Tamandua tetradactyla: one gene and its partners. The protein of the gene in region 1 purifies or fractionates together with the protein of each later gene. This does not show direct contact. Links are inferred from orthologs where the notes say so. Each region holds a gene or a part of one and is shown on either strand. Other genes may lie near its edges.

What was found.
Region 2: the proteins of POLR2J (region 1) and GTF2B purify together in Homo sapiens (affinity purification with mass spectrometry; 3 studies listed by BioGRID and IntAct, with this or other methods). This does not show direct contact. The link is inferred for Tamandua tetradactyla from reciprocal best matches to the Homo sapiens genes POLR2J and GTF2B.
Region 3: the proteins of POLR2J (region 1) and RPAP2 purify together in Homo sapiens (affinity purification with mass spectrometry; 5 studies listed by BioGRID and IntAct, with this or other methods). This does not show direct contact. The link is inferred for Tamandua tetradactyla from reciprocal best matches to the Homo sapiens genes POLR2J and RPAP2.

Annotation. Positions count from the first base shown.
Region 1 is NC_135349.1:10,165,610-10,169,358, forward strand, and holds the start of POLR2J (DNA-directed RNA polymerase II subunit RPB11-a), read right to left. Parts: upstream 2,372-3,749; 5' UTR 2,275-2,371; coding exon 2,222-2,274; intron 879-2,221; exon of another isoform or gene 798-878; coding exon 708-797; exon of another isoform or gene 1-707. UniProt on the Homo sapiens protein: Core component of RNA polymerase II (Pol II), a DNA-dependent RNA polymerase which synthesizes mRNA precursors and many functional non-coding RNAs using the four ribonucleoside triphosphates as substrates.
Region 2 is NC_135337.1:35,877,049-35,880,797, forward strand, and holds the start of GTF2B (transcription initiation factor IIB), read left to right. Parts: upstream 1-1,142; 5' UTR 1,143-1,264; coding exon 1,265-1,281; exon of another isoform or gene 1,282-1,738; intron 1,739-3,749. UniProt on the Homo sapiens protein: General transcription factor that plays a role in transcription initiation by RNA polymerase II (Pol II). Involved in the pre-initiation complex (PIC) formation and Pol II recruitment at promoter DNA.
Region 3 is NC_135337.1:32,018,475-32,022,223, forward strand, and holds the start of RPAP2 (putative RNA polymerase II subunit B1 CTD phosphatase RPAP2), read right to left. Parts: upstream 2,968-3,749; 5' UTR 2,851-2,967; coding exon 2,778-2,850; intron 2,086-2,777; coding exon 2,040-2,085; intron 858-2,039; coding exon 801-857; intron 1-800.

The DNA of each region.
Region 1 (3,749 bases):
CAGCTCATCCAGCAGGTGAGCAGCAAGCCCCAGCAGAGCGTGGGTGTAGCACTGGCTCGACACCGGTCATCCGGACAAAACAAGTGCATCTCCACTCCTGGCACCAGAAGAGATCGGGTGAGTTGCTGCCCACAGCCTCGCACACTGCAAGCCCAGGAAAGGCCACAGGACCAGAGGAATTAGCAAGTATCAGCAGCGAAATGACAAGTACCTGGGTCAGAGTGACAATCACATCCCTGACCACCTGGCCAGGACCTCACTGGTGTAAACAGACATCCACCAACCAGTACCAGCTACCCAACAGAGGCACTGGATAACTACAGGACACCTCCCCCAGTTCTTTCCCTCATTCTATTAAACTTATGATCCCTGAATGCCAGGTAGGACATGGCATAGGTCACCACAAATGGGGGTGGAGGGAGCTAACCTTGATCACTTCTCAACTCATCAGCACTGAAATGCAGTAGGTACTTCCTACCTTTCCAGAGTGGAATTTGGGGGCTTGCTAAGCATTCACCAACTGTAGTCAGCTAAATTAGTCATGTGGCTTATGGCAACAGATTAAGGTCAGCATCATTCTGCAGAAAAGTTGCTGGAACTGTGACATGCCAGAGTAAGCACCGTGAGGGACTTAAGAAAATATTATGAAACTTGCCCAAAGAGCCCCACTGAGCACAGCCCCTGAGCACCTCTGCCCTGGAACTTACGATTTAATTATGTTTCCTAGTGTGTGGTCTTCTTTGTTGATGGTAAACAAACAGGCATTGGGTACTTTGGTGTCCTTGTTAATGGTGATTCTGGGAAGAGACAGAGGCAACAAATGAGGGGCCAAGACCCTTCCTCCTGCCCCGACCGCCTCGCCAGTTCTAAATCCTGCCCATCAAAGCAGGCCTAAGTCCCTCCACTTCCTGGAAGCTTTCTGGGTCTGTTCATTCCATCAAGTCCCGCTGACCCTGAGCAGCACTGTGTCTATATTTTGATCCCATAGACATCCTGACTGTGGGATCCCTGCCTTACTCTGAACCGCTCCTTTTCTCCACAGCAGGGTTTCTCAGTCTCGCATCGTGACACTTCAGACTCTGCCATTCTTTGTTGCAGGGGGCTGTCCTGTACACTGTAGGGTCTGTAGCAGCATCCCTGGCCTCCATCCACTGAGTGCCAGTAACAGCCCCCCATGTGACAACTTCAAAAGTTTCCAAACATTACCTAATGTCTCCTGGGGCACAAAATGACTTACAGTCAAGAACCTCTGCTCTAAAGCCAAGTTGAAGTGGCTGGTGACAGCAAGGATTAGAGAATCCTGTATACCAGGCTTTTTCTTTTGTATGCTGTATGGTGGAGGTAACTTTTCATTCTTTTTCCATGTGACTATCCTGTTATTGCAGCACCATTTGTTGAATCTTTTTTCCCGGGGGGGGGGGGGGGGGGGGGGGGGGGGGGGCGGGGGGGAGTGCAAACCCAGTTGTCAAACCCTGGCAGGCAAGAATGCTACCACTAAACAACCTTTGCACCCCTCTTTCTAATTTTTTTAGGGTAAGAAGAGTCAATATTTAATGAGCGTCTTCCATGTACTGAGCTCTAGGTTAAGCTATTTACACAAATTACCTCATTTACTCTTTCCTGAGAGAAATACCAACAATTAATTAGAATAAAAGCCCATTTTACAGCTGTGAAAAATGAGCCTCAGAGAAATCAAGTCACTCTTCCAAAAATACAGTCAGTCAGTGGAGGATCCAGGAGGCAAGCCCAGGCTGTATAACCACTCAACTACATTTTCCCTCAATCTGCAGGCAACGAGGAGTCACTGAAGGGTTTCACACAGGCGCCCATCTGATCGGATATTAGTTTTAAACCTATCCCTGTGGCAGCAGCAAGGAGGATGGAGATGGCAAACTGGGAGACGAGGGAGGAGGCTGTCAGATCCCTGAGGAAAAGGACTGGGGGTGTCAAGCCTTCTGGGTTCGTCTACAGACCCCGCCACTTGCTATGTGTCCGGGGCGGGTAATTCAACTACTCTGAGCCTCAGTGAACTCTGCAAAACGGGTACTCCCCACTGCCTCAAGTTTGACCTATACAGGCGCAAAGCGCTTGGCTTGGCAGACCCTCCAGAAAAAGCGCCGCGCAGGGGAACCCCCAGTTCCGCAGGATCTGGTCCAGGGGTCCGCGAACCTCGGCCTTGTCCCTGCCTCCCCAAACTCCGCACCCGGCCCGCTCCACTTACTTCTTCTCGCCTTCGAAGAGCAGGAACGACTCGAAGGCTGGAGGGGCGTTCATCCTAACGCCGGGACCGCTGCCAGACTCGCAGCGGCAGCTACGTCCGCCTCCACAGCGCTACGACGCGACCTCTTCCGGTTCCGCGTCTGCTTCCGGGTTACGTCGCCGGTGCCAGACCCGCGTAAGGACTAGGCTAGGCTCCACTGCCCCCTGGCGGCTGGAGGTCCGTGCCCAGGAGCGAGGGAGGCCCGCAGGAGGGAGGGCGGCCGGTGGCTCTGCGCATGCGTAAATCTGGAAGGTGCACTATGTCCGCTTCCCTGCGGGGGAGTGTGTTGCTTGCTGCGAGGCTGAGGAGAGCGCTGGAACTAGAGACAGCCTCGTCCGGACTGAGCTGGGACCACCCGCCCCCCGAATTGGGCCTCTCTGGGTTCCCCATGCCCTTTGATCTCTCTTTGAAAATGCTCCCTTAGAGTATGGAGCAGGAGAACCAAGCCATAGGGTAGTGGCCCCTGGAGTGGCGGCAGCCGTGCAGCGCTGAAGGGGCCTCCTGGGCTGCATCCCGTCAGCCCGGCGGTGGTGTGCGGATAAACCCGCTGCCGAGGCTGCTCGGGCCGGCTGCTGCAAGCCCCCTGGCCCAGCCGGCACTGGCTGCCAATGTTTGGGCTGATGGCCCAGTGAGCGTTATGTTGGCAGAGACGGTTTGGGCAGGAGGCAGGTGGACATGGGCGCGGGAGAGCAGCGCGGGTTGGGTAAGTGTATCTACCCTGCTGGGATTCGCTGTATTTTTGCAGAGTACAGCTTGTAAAGGTCCTGCCTGGGCTGTTGAAAGCACAGGTACTGGGTTTGCAGGTTAGCTGTTGGAGCCCTGATATCTTCCCAGCTGTTTCTCCAGGGCAGGGCAGCAGCCTGGGACCCCAAGGAAATCTGGAGCTTCCACTACCCGGCTCCCTGGAAGGGCCTGTTCTAGTTTGCTAGCTGCCAGAATGCAATATACCAGAAACGGAATGGCTTTTTAAAAGGGGAATTTAATAAGTTGCTAGTTTACAGTTCTAAGGCTGAGAAAATGTCCCAATTAAAGCAAGTCTAGAGAAATGTCCAATCTAAGGCCTCCAGGGAAAGATACCTTGGTTCAAAAAGGCCGATGAAGTTCAGGGTTTCTCTCTCAAGTGAGAAGGCACATGGTAAGCATTATTCTGATACAAATCCCAGATAGATCGTTTATCCATAAGTATTTCTAAAAGACAAGAACTCTTACAAGCCAATAACCACACTACCCTACCACACCTTAAAAGAAAATAGGAGTAAGTCTTTAACATCCTATCAGCCAGGATTCAAATTTCTAATTAACTAGAGCACTTTTTATATCTCATTTCTCAACATGTTGGTTTTATTGAAATTTGCCACTGTACCTCAAGTCTCTTTGACTCTATTGGGTCTCCTTTCAGCTCCTTTTCTTTTTTTCTTCTTTCAATTGGAATTGATTTTAAACATCCCATTTTAACGCTGAGCTGGATGCCTAGTTCAAAATCCCATGT
Region 2 (3,749 bases), on another chromosome or scaffold:
GAAGTCTAGCCACCCTCCTTCCCTTTGTCTCTCTCCTTTTCTCCAGAGCCAAGCTACTCTACCGTGAAAACTCCTTACCGAATTGGAGAACACCTTCAAACCCTTTCCTGGTGGTGCTTGGCTCAGCTGAAATGGATTGACATTTTTAAAACTTTCTCAATCACTATGGAAGAAAAAAACAAAACCTCACGAGTCAGTCATGTTTTTAAATTACAGAATGGAAAACTGGAACAAAAGAAATCATGCTCCCCCATCCCCGTCTAGATTTCAGTTCCTAAACTGCCCCCACCCTACACTTCTTTTTTCCTAAGGAAGTTTCTCCCACCTTCTCAAGAAAACAAGGAGTATTCAGTGGCATTTAAGTCTCATCCCCAAATGAATAAGGCGGTTACTATATTCTAAGTCCTTTTCCCAACAGAAACCACATAGCATCCTCTCTCCTCCAATCACCAGAGGAACCAGGGTGGTGCGTTCCCAGCAAACTGGTATTCAGACTTTAGTTTGGCTAATTAGTAAATATAGGAACCCTCTGTGTTATCTAGAAGGTGTACCAAGTTCTCCATACTTCAGCTATGAGCCAAATTTTTTAAAGACCATGAAAAACGATCAGGGAAGAGTCCATATATCCTCCCCTCATGCTCTGCAGAATGTTCTCACGTGCTTTTGTTTAATGTCCTGCCAACTCTAAAAGGGTATGCAAGGCGGATATTATTACCCCTTGCACTGATGGGGCAAGGGACGTGCCTAAGAAAGCACAGCATGTTAGCCGACAGCACAGCCAGAATGGACAGCCGATCTACGTGAATTTCTCTTTTCACTCCAAATTCCTTTGTGAAAAAGAATCAGCCCTCAAGGCAAGCAAGAAGTTTACTCAAACTGGAGTAACTGACTCCCGAGGAGCGGTTAACCCTCGATGGTATGGGCTTTGTTCTCACAATGACGTCGGGGTTTTCTTCATGTTTTAACATCCGTTGAGGGTAGCTCTGGGGCAGCCGTTTTTCAAGGACGTTTCCCTAGACAGTTTTATTAACTCGCCCATCAACAAAGTACAATTCAGAAACAGAAGAGAACATTTAAAAAGCTCAAAGCACGTGGCGTATGGGAGCTTATATTCTTGGCCTTTCTCCCGACCCGTAGCCGCGCCCAGTTACGACTGCGTAAGTGACTCGCCTATAAAAGCCTGACTCCTCGCGTCTTCTCGCCACAATCTCTTCCTGTTCTCTGTTCGGTTGTTGTTGTTCCTGGAGCCGTGGTGGCCGTGAAGATGGCGTCTACCAGCCGGTTAGTATGTCCGGCCGAGGCCGGCCAGCTAAGGGGCGGGCGGCGAACTCCAGGGATGCGTAGGCGGTCCCCTACGGCAGCGTCGTGCGAAGCGACCTGGGAGATCCGGGGAGACGCGGCGGAACTGGCTGGCGGACCCGGACAAAGGTCCAGACGACAAGACTGTCAGGGGTGTCGCAGGGGGTTCCGGGTTGTCGGCATTACAGTCTCAGCGTCCTGGGTCTTCCCAGACTTTCTTTTGTACGGTCGTTTTCTTAATTCAGGCACTACCTGGTGTGGGCCTGGGTGTTTTCAGCCGCCGGCCCCTCCTCTTGCCTGTATTTCAACCGTTTGTATTTGTTTTTTTTCCTTCTTGTCATTTTTCTCCACGTTTGTTTTTCCACCCAAGGCCCAACCAGCCTAAGTGTCCAGAGAGTCTTTCTTTCCAAAGAGCGGGAAAAGGGTAGTTCCAGGTCTCTCGATCTGACAGTTTGAGAGTTGAGAACGTCAGCTTTGGTAACCGAATGGAAACTGCTTACCATCCCAGCGGCGCTCCGAAGTGGACGACAGGGCATTTTTTAATAGTTAATGAGTTCTCATCCAAAAGATTTCTTTACAGATATCGCCTTCTGGATACTCCTGAAGAAAATCTTGCCTGCAGGCAATTACTTACATTATGCTGGGAAGTCACTCTTTACAGATATTTGTTAAGTGTAATATTCCCGTATCTAGTAAAAATGCATGCAGTGCCCTTGAGAAGCAGCCTTTAATCTTGTGACCTAAAAAATGCATGCAGACCCTAATTATATCTTTCATTACCCCTATGAGGTAAATACTAGTATTTTTGCATAAGTGTAAACTGAGTCATGCCAATGTTGACTTTTTTTAAGGTTAGTGTTAGAACAGCTAGTAGAACCTCAGATACCTGTTTTCTTGTTATCACACATCGGGCATCTAGTTAACTCAAAATGTATTAAGAGTATCAAATTTCTGCAGCACGGTGGAAGGCATTCTTCTTTAATTATTCTGACTATTATTATCTATGGAATTGAGCTCCGAGTAGAAACTATTGCTCAAAAAATAGTAAGCTGAGTGAGTCTAAACCCTTTCTGGTAACTGCCAAGACTTACCATTTTATATTGCGGAATTAAAAAAAAAATTTTAAAAGGAGCAGCTTTAGTTAATAGTCTGTTTAGAAATAACTCTTAAGACTAATGACACACTTGTTTACTGATTCAAATTCAACGATTGAGTGCTCAATCATTCAGTCTGGGTGTGGTTTTGTCGGGTAAGGCCAGAAAACACACTTCCCTTCCTCGTGGGTATATGGAAAACTTTAGTTTCCCAGAGTCAGCCAAATACAACTTATATTTTCATGGTAGTAAATTTTGGGAGTGAATGTCATATTTGGGCCTTGCTTTTGCATAAAATATATTAGAACAAGAAATTTTATTTGTAAAAAGTGTTGCAGTTTTTAAACAGTTTAGATCATTGTAAATTCACTTGATTGATTTTTTGCCTAAACAGTACATTACTTTTGTGTCTTTATTTTCTTAATTTGTTTTTAAAAATCCAAAAATTTGAAATAAATTTTTACTAGATAATCTGCAGCTCTTGAATTTATGTGCTTTTGCACTTAGACATCTCTCAAGTTTTTCTTTTACCAATAAGAACAAAGAAAGGTCACTGTTAATATATTTTCTTTTAGTTTTTTTTTCCCTGAGGATGAAATACAACCTCTGAGTTGTGAAATTGCCTGTAGTTCTCATAGAGAAGAGCACAAATTTAGTTCAGATCTAAGCTTTACTGCTTATTATTTTGATAACTTTGGGTACATAATTCCTGAGCATAATCTAAAATGGTGATGAATGCCTATTTTGCAGGATTGTGAAGATTAGTAATAATATATGTATTGCACTAGACACATAGTAGACACCCCGTAAATGATAATTGTAAAATGAGGTTTAGGATTAACTGACACTTTAGGTAGTCTACACTATTTTAATGTACATGGTGTTGGTGTTCTCCGTTCCTTTCCTAGTGTTTCTGTTCCTTACTTCCTCCACCACTCCCACTAGAGTGTGGTTCCTCTTTTATGTTACTCTTGTGGATAATTTGATTAAAAGTTGACTACTTTAGCATAGTTTCATTTTATTTTGGATAGCTAGCACAAATCCAAAGTAGGAAAGAATATATACTGAGAAGCAGTTTCCCTCCCCTACTACATCCATCCAGTTCTCCAAAACAGCCTTTGTTTCCAACTGCTTGGTGTTTGCCTTGAGATACTGTTCTTTTAAAAACATTTATATATGTTCTTGCCTCCTTTCCACCAGAAAGTGGCCTAATATAACCAGTGTTCATAACCTTGCTTCTGTCTTTATTGAAGTTAGCACATAAATTTTAAGTGCACAGCTCAGTTATTGCACAGTGAACTCATGCACATAGCTGCCATCCAGAACAAGAAATCAAATTCCCCTGGCACCCCAGAA
Region 3 (3,749 bases), on another chromosome or scaffold:
AGTGTATACCCAAATAACTGAAGGCAAGAACTCAAACAGATATCAGTATACCAATGTTTATTACACCATTTTTCACAACCACCAAAGATGAAGGCAACCAAAGTTTACACCAACAGCTGAAGGGATAAACCAAATGTGGTATATACATACAATGAAATATTATAGTCATAAAAAAGAATGAAGTTCTAATGTATGCTACCACATGGACAAACCTTGAAAATATTATACCAAGTGAAATAAGCCAGAAACAAAAGGACAATTATTGTATGATTTCAGAGACAGAAAGCAGAATAGTGGTTTACCAAGTGTGGTAGTTAGATTCAGTTGTCAACTTGGCCAGGTGAAGGCACCTAGCTCTGTTGCTGTGACCATGAGCCAATGGTACGTGTTGCTGATTACATCTGCAGTCGGCTAGGCATGCCTGCTGCAATGAATGATGTTTGACTTAATTGGTTGGTGCTTAAATGAGAAAGCTCAACGTAGCACAGCCCAAGCAGCTCAGCACACCTCATCTCAGCAACTGCGGCTCAGTCCAGGCCTTTGGAGATGCAGAAAGGAATCACCCCGGGGAAAGTTGTTGGTACCCAGAGGCCTGGAGAGAAGGCCAGCAGAGATCATTCTGAGCCGTCCCATGTAAGAAAGAACCTCAAATGAAAGTTAGCTGCCTTTCCTCTGAAGAACTAACGAAATAAATCCCCTTTTATTAAAAGCCAATCCATCTCTGGTGTGTTGCATTCTAGCAGCTAGCAAACTAGAGCACCAAGTAAGAATGGGGAAATTATTGCTTAATGGGTACAGACCTTCTTGTTTTGGGTGATGAAAAATTCTGGTAAAAGATAGTGGTGCTGTAGCATAATCTGGAAAATGTAATTAATGTCATTGAATTGAACACTTAAAGTAGCTAAAATTGCAAATCTTACATTTCTTAAAGATAAAATTTATGCTACCACAATAAAATTTTAAACACAAAAACTTGAATCACATCACTCTGTTACACAGTTTTCTCATTTGCATTTAGAACAATAATATAATTTCTTACCATGGCTTCCAGATACTATATGAACAGGATCCTGCCTCTCTCCCCTTTTCCTAGCCCCTTTCCTTCTCTGCTCAGACTACCCCAGCTATCTTGCCTCTTTTTTTTAACTGGTCAAGCACTTTCTCATCTCAGGGTTTCAGAAATACTGTCACCTCAGCCTAGAAGTCTCTCCTCACTTGTGTTTTCTTTGTTTAACTTTATCTCAGCTTATCACGCCCTCAGAGAAACTTTTTCTCAAAAAACCTACAGCCACTCTCCCCACCAACCTTTGGCTAAAATGGACTTTCATTCTTCATTCATTCTAACATCATAGTCTTTTCTTTTGATAGCACTTAACACAATTTGTAATTATCTATTTATCTGTGATCATTTAATTGGTATCACTCTCTTCCACTAGCTAGGAACTGTTTATTCAACATCATAACAGCAGCGCCTAACATGAATGAATGCTTAAATAAATGAATAAATGAAGCCTAAAAGACAATACAACTTAGTGAGTCTTCTCAAAGAAAGAAATGATAGATATATATTTTTATCATCATCATCATAGACTACTACTATTCTAGAAACCTTTTATTACAGGTGATAATCCCTTGTGTTTTTGAGGAGAAGCCAAGACACAGTACATGACAACTTTGTTACAAAAATCCAGACTTGATGTAAAAAAAGAACAGAAAAGGCTTCTTGGAATAATAAGGAGAGAAATTTGGACAGTGACTCCCTGGTGTACCAATAAAAGGAGTACCTGGTTAAGATGTTTCATAGACATCTTTCTACATACACTGATATCTCAGTCATCAACGTAAAAGTTTCAGATTTGGTTTTCTTGAAGCCTGGAGTAGAGGGATATAATAATGAATGTGGGAATTTACAGTGTTTCCCAGGCTGGCATCTTTCCTCATAACAATTTTCTCTATGGGAGCACTCACTGTTTTAAAAAATGTCAATTAATATGAGATATATAGATAAGTGAATGTAGTTGCCCAAGTAGTTCTCATACCTTTTAGAAGCATCTTCTTGTTTCAAAGCACTTGTCAGTTTAGATCCTGTATTTAAAAAAAAAAAAAAAAAACAAACATAGTGGGCCAAGTATGCACAAACACACTAAGTACAGGTCAGACTCGTACTTACAGAACTCAAACACACCAGACTATCTTTCCTATTTTTCTACACATTTCATTTCCAATCTTGTTTGTAAGATATGGGAATGTAGTCCAAATTTTTTTTGTTCTTTTTTAAACTTAATTTATTCCCTAATTTTTCTTAGTTAAAACTATCTTTTTAGGGATTGAATTTTCACTGTATCAGAGTTGCTTAGTTAAGCACTCTTGAAAATCTGAGTTCTGGAGAACTCTCTCTCCATCCTCTAAATGCTCGCTCCCTGGGGGAAGAGGGGACGTTCCCACAATTCAGGGAACCCGAGTAGGAAAGTTGCAGCACGTCTGCCAGGAAGATAGGTCTGGGGGCCGAAGCCAGCTGCACACAGCCCGGCGAGCGCCAGCGCTAGGCTCCCAGCACCTCTACAGCTGGGGCCAAAGCCCACGAGGGGAAAAAATCCCGGAACACTGGTGTGTGCCTGTAGGAAAAATCTTGGAACACTCAGGAACAAGGGAAGCTGTCCGTCTCTCGGTCCCGCAGACCCTCTCCCCTGGGTTCGGGAAGCCCCGTGCGCGTCGGTCGGAAACTGTCAGGGCCCTGTTCTCAAGGTCCAAACATGGGAAGCGGTTTTCGTTCTTACCTGCGGCCTTTCGAGAAGTGCCGGAAGCTCGGGCCCTGCGGCCAGCTGGTAGCGGCGAGGCCCCGTCAGCCATTGGGATACGTCGTCTGAAAATCGGAGACCGGCGCTGGCGTCTCTCCGCCAGGCTCCGCCTCCCTTCGCGTAGCGCCGGAGGGGGCGGGGAGACGGAGCCGGCCGGGGCGGGACCGGCGAGCGGCCTACGCGGCGGGAGGAGGTGAAGGAGGGCGCTCGGACGGCTAGAGGGCCGACTGGTAAGTATAGGCGCCGGGAAGTCCCCGGCTGCCGGGGACAGTGGGTGGGCTGTGAGGCAGGACCCTGCGCCGTGGACAAGCCAGGCTTCGTGAAGCGGTGGGGCCCGAACCCCGCAGCGGATAGTGGTAGGGAGAAATGGCTTCCCCTGGATGCCTCCGCACTCAGTCTGAGCTTTTATCCGCGCTCGAGCGCGGCACGGTGAGGACCCGGCGACCACCCTATTGCAGGGCTTGGGCCAGGCCTGCCATCCGGGAGAAAAGATGGCCTGCGGGACCGGAGCAGTGTTTTCTCGAAGGCCGCCGGTTGCTCTGTCTCCGTGCGATGAAGAGATTTTAATTACTGAATTTGGGGGACTGCAGTCCTAAAGAGAAATGCCCCAGCCACACTTGGGATGGGAGCATTCCAATCTTCTCAGTGAGTTGTGTTGCACCAGTATTTTTGACAAATGGGACATTAGAAAAGGAAAAAATGACTGTTAGTTTTCCACTTTTTGGAAGATTTTCAGTGAAGAAATAATTTGTCTTATTAAAACCCTTGCTATAGTTGCTACTTGTCTTGCCCAGTGGAAGTACTCTAAAGGGTTGTTTTGTTTTTGTTTCTCATCTTTAAGATGGTCCTGGAATACTGAAAAGATGCAACGGGAGGTTTTTTTTGTTTTTCTTTTTAAATTTTTTTTATTGTATAATGTATATACAAAGCAAAGAAAGAAAAAAGCAATAG